Drosophila melanogaster: one gene and its partners. The protein of the gene in region 1 purifies or fractionates together with the protein of each later gene. This does not show direct contact. Each region holds a gene or a part of one and is shown in the gene's direction. Other genes may lie near its edges. The genes, in order: CG5565, CG8132 and JMJD7.

What was found.
Region 2: the proteins of CG5565 (region 1) and CG8132 purify together in Drosophila melanogaster (affinity purification with mass spectrometry, with the first as the bait; one large-scale study listed by BioGRID). This does not show direct contact.
Region 3: the proteins of CG5565 (region 1) and JMJD7 purify together in Drosophila melanogaster (affinity purification with mass spectrometry, with the first as the bait; one large-scale study listed by BioGRID). This does not show direct contact.

The regions. Positions count from the first base shown.
Region 1 is NT_033779.5:1,354,279-1,357,499, reverse strand, and holds CG5565 (uncharacterized protein), read left to right. Parts: upstream 1-1,575; 5' UTR 1,576-1,731; coding exon 1,732-1,798; intron 1,799-1,870; coding exon 1,871-2,526; 3' UTR 2,527-2,589; downstream 2,590-3,221. Other genes in the region: CG31924 (uncharacterized protein), read left to right, coding at 2,609-3,221.
Region 2 is NT_033777.3:9,399,350-9,403,118, forward strand, and holds CG8132 (uncharacterized protein), read left to right. Parts: upstream 1-2,145; 5' UTR 2,146-2,217; coding exon 2,218-2,236; intron 2,237-2,291; coding exon 2,292-3,124; 3' UTR 3,125-3,269; downstream 3,270-3,769. Other genes in the region: Or85f (odorant receptor 85f), read left to right, coding at 1-86, 149-202; CG34117 (uncharacterized protein), read right to left, coding at 285-590; RpL34b (ribosomal protein L34b), read right to left, coding at 1,088-1,529, 1,593-1,657; CG9356 (uncharacterized protein), read right to left, coding at 3,275-3,424, 3,494-3,769.
Region 3 is NT_037436.4:13,448,658-13,452,104, reverse strand, and holds JMJD7 (jumonji domain containing 7), read left to right. Parts: upstream 1-1,821; 5' UTR 1,822-1,845; coding exon 1,846-2,796; 3' UTR 2,797-2,918; downstream 2,919-3,447. Other genes in the region: cmb (combover), read right to left, coding at 3,060-3,447. UniProt on the Drosophila melanogaster protein: Bifunctional enzyme that acts both as an endopeptidase and 2-oxoglutarate-dependent monooxygenase.

The DNA.
Region 1 (3,221 bases):
AGCGACGAATTGTGTGCATAAATTATGCAGCCAGCCATTTTGGAAAGCCCCACATTTATGATATTTCACCATTTTTTGTACACGGTATGAGTAGAAGGATATGTGGCATTAGTATATACAGCAGGCAACTTTAATAAAAAAATATTTATGTATTGTATACCAATCATAGGAGATGCCTTATCTGCTTCCTATTTGTTTCAACTAGTTTTATCAATAACTAATAGTAGGCCAAGTAATGTGTTATACAGAGTAACTCATGGTCTCAACCAAAGGATTTAACGAATTACCTTCCTTTTTTTTTGGCTTGGTTAGGGGAATTCCCACTTGGCTGACCAGCAACAATATGTTGCAAACGTTTAATTTGAACGCGTCTCTAATCGCTGTCCTGGCAACCAGGACACTCCACCTGCCACCTGAAATCTGGGCGCTGTAATTGCGTTCATTGAATTGTTAACTGGTCTGCTTGTCTGCCAGCCTGCATTTCAGTCCCCGAAAACCGCAAACTTGCAGCGAGGGCGGCCAAAAGCCGTTGTTATCCTTGCGGTCCTTGTGGCTTTGTGTGAACGCGACTGCGAGTGTGGATGGGTCCCCTTGAGCTGATTTCCGCACTGGCTGGCGGGTCCTTCGATATCCCGGTCAAAGCACATCAAACTTTTTGGCTCTCCCTGTGGGCCATCTGCATTTGGCATTTATTGGTATTGTTCCAATTAAAGTTGGACTCGGTCATAAAATATGCAAGCTCAGTGAACCAGTAAGCCATTCGCCATCGCGCAACTTCTGTTTCGATTTGGCGGCCACAGGACATTAATGCGTTACGGTCAATGGTTGCGACTGCAACCGAGCCAGCGCTGCCAATAAAAGGTAATAAAATGCCCCATCCTTCGGTAGCCAATGCGGATGGTTGAAGTTAAGCAATGGAGTTGCTTCTGAATATACTAAGTGGGTTTTCTCAATAAGGATCAATTAAAATTGTGGCAATATAAAAAGGAAGGGGAAACGCTAGAGTCGCGCTACTTAACTATCAAATAAGTTGGATCGAATAAATAAACTAAATTCAATTTAAAAGCCTGGGGATAATAGTATTAAAAAAAGACATTGATCTTTATTTTAATCCATGATCCGATGCCTATCAAGCATCATAAATTTCCGCTATCAACTCCGCAAAATGCGCAAACATTTCGTTAACTCGTTTCATACGGCCCAGGTGCGCCTGGCTATTAAACCCGTGCCAAAATCAAGCGTCGCGACGCATTCACCTTTGACCCGCCACCCGCTCCACCCACCACACAAAGTTTAGCACCACATGCTGCATGCACCACCCACCGTACCTACTTCCTCTGTCTTCCCAACATTTTGTGGCACGTATTGGCCAAAGCCAAAGTTTCGGCGACGCGCTGGTGAAAACGTCTCTTGCGGCTTGGCTGCCAACTGCTTAATCAATTACGCAACTTTGTAACAACATGCGAGTCCTGGCCAAAAAGCGTGCGCCGCATGCATTAGACATAGCTAAAACTACGAAAGTGCAACTACCGCTGAGAGGAATGAAATTTAAAAAATGTAATCAGGACCTCTTGGAATTATCTCTCAAAATTCTTAATGAAAATTCAGTAACAGAAGAATCAAATTGTTGTAGTTAGTTTTTGGAAAATTAAGCACCGTTCTGGCCAAGGCGAACCCTCTAAATTAAGGAGCATGCGGTGTGTGATATGAAGAGCTTAGACCATTGTAGAAATGCCCACCAAGAAGTGTTACTGCCCCGTCACTCATGTCATCTTTGACTGCGATGGAACCTTGATAGGTGCATTACATTTAACATATTCTAATTGAATAAATGGTTCTATATTCATACCTTTTTTTTTTGCTCTTTCAGATAGCGAAGGCATCTACCTCAAAACGGTTCAAGACTTGTTGGCTAAATATGGCAAAACGTACACCAAAGTCGATCAGACGCAGCATATGGGAATGCCGGTCGGTACATTTTCCCAACACATCGTCAAGGATCTAAAACTTCCGTTGTCACCTGCGGAATTTCAAAAGGAATTCGAGGCAGCTGTTGATAAGAGCATGGGAAGTGTGGCTCTGCTGCCAGGGGTCAGGGATCTGATTCTCCACTTGCACGAATACCGCATACCCTTCTGCATAGCCACAAGTTCGTTTAGGAAACTGTTCAAAGTGAAGGCCGAGTCCTTCAAGGATATATTCCTGGCCTTTCACCACGTTGTCTGTGGCGATGATCCGGCACTTGGACCGGGAAGAGGAAAGCCCTACCCAGATATATATCTCCTGGCCGCCTCGCGATTCAATCCGCCCGCAGATCCCAAAAAGTGTCTTATATTCGAGGATGCTCCAGTGGGCCTCATAGGCGGAAAGGCAGCGGGATCCCAAGTCATCTTTATTCCAACTGATAACGTTTCCAAGCAGCAGAAAAAGGGCGCCACCATGGTTCTAAAATCGATGGCGGACTTTAAGCCTGAGCTCTTTGGTCTACCACCCTTTGACACCTGCTCCAAATTCGAGTTTGGCTAATCCCTAGCACTCTAAATTGATCCGTCAAAATTAGTATTCTATCTATAAAATAAAAAATAATTCAAAATTCAAGTGAACCAAAATGTCGGCGGAAGAGGCGGGTTCTAGGCAGTGCTCTTTTCAGCCAGTTACCCATTGCATTTTCGAACTCGATGGTCTGCTGATAGACAGCGAGCGTTTGAGAACGGAAACCGTTCAAAGGATTCTGGATCCCTATGGTCACACGTATAGCTTCGATCTGAAGATGCGGTGCATGGGAAAGCCAGATTCCGAGCAGGCTGCTCTAATCGTAAACACCTTCAATCTGCCCTTCAGCATGACGGAGTTTGAGAACCAGCAGGAACTTCAGTGTCGTGGCAAAATGGGATTCATTCGACTGATGCCCGGTGTGGAGCGTCTGCTGCATCACCTCAAAGCGTTCAACATTCCCATGGCTATCGCAAGTGGCTGCTGTCGGGATTCGTTTAGGATAAAGACGCGTCGGCACTCCAGGCCCTTCGATGTCTTCCACCACGTGGTTTTGAGCGGCTCCGACGAAGAAGTCAAGAGGGGGAAACCCGCTCCGGATGTTTTCCTCACCACCGCCTCTCGTTTTGAGGAATCGCCGGAGCCGAGCAAGTGTCTGGTCTTCGAGTCCTCTTTGGTTGGTATGGAGGCTGCTCTGTCCGCTGGCATGCAGGTGGTCCTCGTGCCCG
Region 2 (3,769 bases), on another chromosome or scaffold:
TGCTCATAATCATTATCAGGGCGCAGCAGCCCGTGGAACTTAATGCCATGGGCTACCTGTCCATTTCGCTGGACACCTTTAAACAGGTAAAATGCAAACACCACGTATACTTTATATGACATTATGTGAATTTCGCTTTCAACTGCAGCTGATGAGCGTCTCCTACCGGGTTATAACCATGCTCATGCAGATGATTCAGTAGACAGCAAACACAAGCACGGAGTTTGCAAAATCGGGACGCTTTAATCGCACTACGCTAGTAACTATCTTTCTATATAACTAGATCACTTGGGATCCGAGGGCAGCTTGAAGCCCACCAAATCGGCGGTATCCCTTACGGATCTCTCGCCCCTTCCGTGATATTCCTTGTAGAGCTCCAAGTACCGGCGCTGGCTGGCTAGGTAGGTCAGGTAGGTTTGACCCAGGAAAGTCGCTTCGTTGCGCGCCTTGCAGAATTGTTGTTCCGTGGTGGCGAACTTCTTGTATTGCGCCAAAATGTAGCGCGCGGCCAGAGAGTCCTTGATGCAGCCATTTGGAGATGCCTGGCGCAATTCGTGCAGCAGGGAGCGCAGCACCTTGGTTCCCGCCATTCTAAACACAAAATATTAATTGCATTTGCAAGAAACTATAAACAATCAACGACTTACGTGATTTTTAAGAAAATTCCAATTGCTTCTGCCGAACAGCTGTTCTCAACAGAGTTGCCACCTAGTCATACAATGAATATACAGTGATCACTCTCACAAATTGACACTTTGAAAAATAACACTGGATCTTATTTTTTATAATTATCAATAAATCTGAAAAATCATCAAAAGTTTGACTACGAGCACAGTAAAACTCTGTGACAAACGAAATATTTAAAATTTATTTATTTTAATTATATTATATTCTCACTTTTGAAATCGTTTTGCTATAAATGTCTAAAAGTCGAACGGTCTGATTGGAAAACAAGAACAACCAATAAGTAAAGTACACAATCCAACTGGACTGTCAAACTAAAAATACAAACAGTAAATCCAGTTGGAAAAAACCAATTTATTTTAAAAGTTATTTAGCAGTACACCGAACTCGTTGCGTGGGCTGTTTACTTCCTGGGCTTGCCAGCGGCTGGCTTCTGGCCGGGCTTCTTGCCAGCGGCTCCCTTGGCGCCAGCACCACCCTTGGTGACCTTGCCGGCACCGGCCTTGGTTCCCTTGGCTCCAGCAGCGGGCTTCTTCTTGGGCTCGGGCTTGGCCTTGGGGGCCTTCACCGGCTTGACGAGCGCCTCGCGCTGGCTCTTCAGGGCCTTGACGATCTTCTGCTCCTCGATGAGGAAGGCGCGCACGATACGCTCGCGCAGGCAGCTGTGGCACAGCACTCCACCGTAGGTCCTGGACACGGTCTTCAGGCGCTTGGACATGCGGGGGCGCTCGCTGGGGCGGGAGGGGGTGATACCCTTCAACTTCTCCTTGCACTGGCCGCAACGGGGCACGGTGGGGTTCTTCTTCACATACTGGTAAACCAGACGACCACCGGGCGTGCGAACACTGTAAATTGCAAATGTGCGTTATTTTTCATATTGGTGAGGTGTATTGCAGTTGGATAGTTACATGCGCCGCTTGTTGGAGCGTGTGTTGTAGGACAGGCGTCTCCGGAGCGTCAGACGTTGGACCATTTTGCTGTTGTTGTTGCTGCTTGTCGTGGCGATTCGTGGGTTACATGTGCAAAAGCGGTGAAAATCATTATTAGTTTGGAGTTACACTAGGGTGGGTGCAGTTTGGGCTGCATTTGGTGGTATATTTTCACAATTTTTTCACACATTTCGGCGAATTTGCGTGAAATTGTTAATTGAACACGTGCATACCTCAAAGAGACGAAACTAGAAAGAAAGGTGGCAACCCTGTTCGCGCACGACGTGAACTTGGCTGCGCTGCCCACTGTACGACACTTTCGAGCACTGCAGACCTTGCCAGATTGCCATGAAAACATGGGCTTATGGGGGTTGCAAATTATTTATTTTTTGTTAGAAAAGTTAGGATTTTATACACAATTTAATGCTATATTCTTTTGGTTAAGTATGCTTTGGCTAAGTATATGCGTATTAATATGAGGTTAAATAATGCGTTTTATAAATATTGATCCCTTTTACTACGCCCCTGCGATAACCTGTTGTTGTTTTGCTTGCGATGAAATCTGTTATCAAACCGCGAAAAGATAACATTTAATTGCAGCAATATGAGCAAAACTAGCAACAGTAAGTGTTTCTCAAAATTTCAAAGAGATCCACTTAAATATTTCTTATTTAATAGTCATGCGTTTGGCGCTGCTGCAGCTCAAGGGTTCCAAGGACAAAGTGGCCAATGTCCAAAACGCCGTCACCAAAATCGAGGCGGCGGTCAAGGAGCATAAACCCCGATTGATCACTCTGCCGGAGTGCTTTAATGCTCCATACGGCACCAAGTACTTTCGGGAGTACTCCGAGACCATTCCCGATGGCTATACCTCGCAACAGCTCTCCAATTTGGCCAGGAAGCACCAGGTGTACATCGTGGGCGGAACAATCCCTGAACTGGGCGAAAACGATGCCATCTACAACACCTGCACGGTTTGGTCACCCACTGGTGACCTTGTGGCCAAGCATCGCAAGATGCATCTCTTTGACATAGATGTCAAGGGTGGCATTCGCTTCAAGGAGTCGGAAACGCTGTCCGCAGGCAATGATTTCACCATCATCAACGTAGATGGCCACAAGATTGGCATCGGCATCTGCTACGATATTCGATTCGAGGAGATGGCGAGGCTCTATCGCAACGCAGGCTGCGAGATGATCATCTATCCGGCTGCATTCAACATGACCACTGGTCCACTGCACTGGGAGCTATTGCAGCGATCCCGTGCCAATGACAACCAACTCTTTGTGGTCACAACATCACCAGCCCGTGACACAAGCGCCGAGTATGTAGCCTATGGCCATTCCATGGTGGTGAATCCATGGGCCAAGGTGCAGCAGAGTGCCAGTGAAGGCGAGGAAATCGTGGTGGCCGATATAGATTTCTCCGAGGTGGAGCAGGTGCGTCAGCAGATTCCCGTCTTTGGGCAAAGACGTCTAGATCTGTACGCCACCGAAAGGAAGGCCAAATAAAGGATTGCTTTAAATGGGAAATGGGAAATCTTCAAAAATTCAAGAATCTGTCGTTTTAAGCACCTTTAAAGCATTGCATTTATGTTATTTGATTGTATATAAAATTTATTAGGCCTACACACACATATAACATTGATTTCTGTCGAAAAACTATTGCATTTTATCTAGCTGCTGATTATCGCAGGCAGGAGTTACTTCGGATGCAGGTGATTGCACGTAGTGGGGTCGCTGGGCCTGGTCGAAAAGTGCTCGTATGGCTTCATCGGTGGCCATCAGGGGCTGACTAATGAATTCCAAGGCCTGGTGGGACGGTAATAAGGTGTACCATTAACTGGATGTTTGAATCACTTTAACTATCGCTGTACTTACCCTAACCGCGTACTTCTCCGCCTCACAAAGTGGACTTGTGCTGGCGCTGGACAACTTTAGTGTCTCCTCGGGAATGCCCACGCCAGTGTGCAGGACCATGCGTTGGAGAATGTTAAGGTTTTCGGCACTTAGGCTGATTACATCGGTGGCGGGCAGGTTGAGGAAACGAATCTTGGCCAGGAACTTCAGTTGCTTAAGCATATCTAGCTGAATTTCGCGGATCTGATGGGTGGCATGAAGCAGTTGCTTCGTTGACTCGTTCAATAGCTGATTCTT
Region 3 (3,447 bases), on another chromosome or scaffold:
CCAACTGGCTTTTCGGCTTTCGGGTTTCGGTTCACACACCAATTGTTGTTGCTGCCCCTCATTTTTTTTTTATGACGCTTATCAGTTTTCAGTTTCGCAGGCCGAATTTATGTAAATCTTACAGCCAGTGATGGTATTTTAATTGCGTAAGAACTGTCATACGCACTGTTGGCGTTTGTTGATTTTGATTCTCTTTTTTTGGAGGGTATATGCGCTGCAGTCTATGGTTTGTAATGCATTGAAGGGAACTTTCACCGGAAGTGTCTATTATAGCCTATATCAGTTAAATAGCTATCAACATAAGACTCTATCAATCACTTTGGTTTATTTTTAAGCAGATTAGATTTGAAAATTTGTCTGATTGGAACTGTGTGTTTAGAGTCACAGAGTCTGATTGGCAAATTAAGACATCAATTTATTTATTTAAGCATAATTTTTTATGTTTCAGTTAAGTTAAACATTCTTTAATCGTTAGGGTGTGTAAACTTCGACGTTTGCAAGTATTTGCTTCAAAAGAGCATCGTACTTACTCTTTCACAGCCGCTTCATTGGCGTCCGACTGCTAATTGGACTGCAATTGGATTTAGTAATTCCGAAGACCGATATTTATAGGCCACGGAGTTTGCGTTCTTTTTTGTTTGCGCCCAGCTTCGCGAAGCGTGGCTACCAAAAATAATTGTTAGCTCTATTAAGACCTATTGGCTGGGTAGATCCAATTCACGCGGCACTTGGAAAGTTTGGTCACGTTCTCCTGGCAAAATGAAACAAACGCAGTGCCGCTGCAAAACTAGATATTCTCCGTCATTTGCGATTCCTGCATTAATGAAGCACTCGCTGTGCGGCGCGCGAATGTGCGATAATTTATTAGTGCCACATTTGCGACACAGATTTCGATTTCGGACCGCCGCCGGTGGCCACCAAGTCAATTCAATTTCCTCACGCGCACACCGCCTGACCCCTTTTGGCCACAAATAATAATGCCGGGCCTATGTCAGTCTATAAGTCTATCAGCACCAAATTTCGCCAAATCCCGTGGCCCATCGACACGATCCATTTAGCCACCCATCCATCCATCCGTCATCCGCCACCTGTTGCTCGAATCGCACCAGCTGAACTTCGAATCCGCGCGAATGTCGGGCATGCAAAAGAGGTGACGACCCTGATCCTCCTCTGAGTCGCTGGTGAAATCAATTGTATTTCACAAAACAAATAGAGCACCGACCGTATTCGAAAACAATTTGTTTCTATCACAAACACTCGACACGCGTCGTCTTGTTTGCATTCCAGTCCGCTCCACTTCCTATCCGACTGTCCGCAGCTTCGCGCGCGTCTTGAAAGTCCCGCACTCGCAAACACACTCGCGTCCAGTGGGACCGCGCCGAAAGCGCTGGAAAATACCAAGCGACTTGCAAATAAATACCACAGTTCTCAACACCATTGCAGTTTCAGAAAATACCACTTATATTTCTATACCACCAAATTCAAATTAATTATTAAAAGCAAAATCAAAATCAAAATGCACGCTAGACAACCTCTATAAGATAGATAGTAAGATCTTTCTTTTCTTAGCATTTTTGCATTTCACCGACGCGAATTTGACCCTTATCGATTTTTTCGGAATACCTTGCTTACTTACTTTAAAAACGTAACAAAAATTACAATAATAAATGTTTCAATTTAATTTGTGTATAATATATTATTTATTTAATACGTCATTTGGTGAAACTAATTAAATTCACTGCAGCACTTCAGTTTAACTTTCACTGAAAACCAGAACCCCACATTACACTGCGCTGATAAGGTCCACTCTAGCGGAAAATGCGTTAGTGCGTGTTGTTTACCGGCATGTCCGAGGTCGAAAGAGCTCTGGATGTTCTGCTCCAGGAAGCGGAGGAGCTGTGCATCGGGAGCAGCGTAGTGGAGCTGGACAGGATTCCAACCGCCTTGGAGTTTTGTCGGGAATTCTACTCCAAAAACCAGCCGGTGGTCATTCGCAAGGCACTCAATTGGCCCGCGATTGGCAAATGGACGCCAAAGTACCTGATCGAGGCTCTCGGGGACAGGAGCGTGGATGTGGCAATCACCCCGAATGGCTATGCCGACGGCTTGGCCACTCAAAATGGACAGGAGTACTTCGTTTTGCCGCTGGAGACGAAAATGAAGCTGTCCGAGGTGGTCCGCCGCCTGGATGATCCCACTGGTGCTGTCCACTACATACAAAAGCAGAACTCTAACCTCAGTGTGGACCTACCGGAACTGGCTGCTGATCTGCGGGTCAGTGATCTCGACTTTGCGCAGCAGTCCTTTAACAAACCGCCTGATGCTGTTAACTTTTGGCTGGGCGACGAGCGCGCCGTTACCTCCATGCACAAGGATCCATACGAGAACGTGTACTGCGTGATATCCGGTCACAAGGACTTCGTTCTCATCCCGCCGCACCAGCTTAGCTGCGTACCGCGAGGAATTTACCCTACAGGCGTTTACAAGACCTCAGATAGTGGTCAGTTCTACATTGAACCGTTGAGGGATGAGGAAGGCAGCGATCAGTTCACAGAATGGGTCAGCGTTGATCCCTTGTCACCCGACCTGGCCAAATATCCGGAGTACGCCCGGGCCAAGCCTCTGAAAGTACGTGTTCACGCGGGAGACATCCTATACCTGCCCAACTACTGGTTCCACCATGTGTCCCAAAGCCACAAGTGCATCGCCGTGAACTTCTGGTACGATCTGGACTACGATAGCCGGTACTGCTACTACCGCATGCTGGAGCAGATGACGTCCGCAAGGAGTGGCTAATAGAATCCGGAGAAGTATTTATTCTCAGGGATTGTTAGGTGAATTCAAAACCCTTCTTGTTTTCAGTGTATTTATATATATTATTGTTACATAATTTAGTGTTAAATAAAAAACTGATACCCAAAATGAGTTGCGAACTACGACTAAGGACACGACCATAAAAGATTTATCTTTTCCGAAATTCGTAAATGAAATATGAAATATCCGTACAGATGATGACTTCTTAAATAAGGAATGTTTGCTTTGTTGGGTTATTCTCTAGTCTATTCGAGACTGACGTCCTGTTTTTCTGCGCCGGAAGGCTCCGCTGCAGCCTGTCCATCTGCCTCCTCGTCGGGATTTTCGTTGTTCTCGCACTCCAGTTCGCCATTTCCCGCGGAGGAGACGTTCTTTTGGTCCGCCTCGGCCAAGTCTGCATCGTTATTCGAGTCCTGCGACTGGGATTGGGACTGTTTGCGCACACGCTGGTTCTTCAGCTTGGCCGGACTGGCTCCAGAAGGTGTCACCTTCGACTTGGTCTTGCAGCTATCCTGCGGCTGTTCCACCACAAACAGCTGCTCCAAATAAGAACGGTACCAAAGCAGGAACTCGTCCCGCTGTCGTGGTATGTCCATCTTCTTGATCTTGGCATATATGCGTTTGGGCGAAATT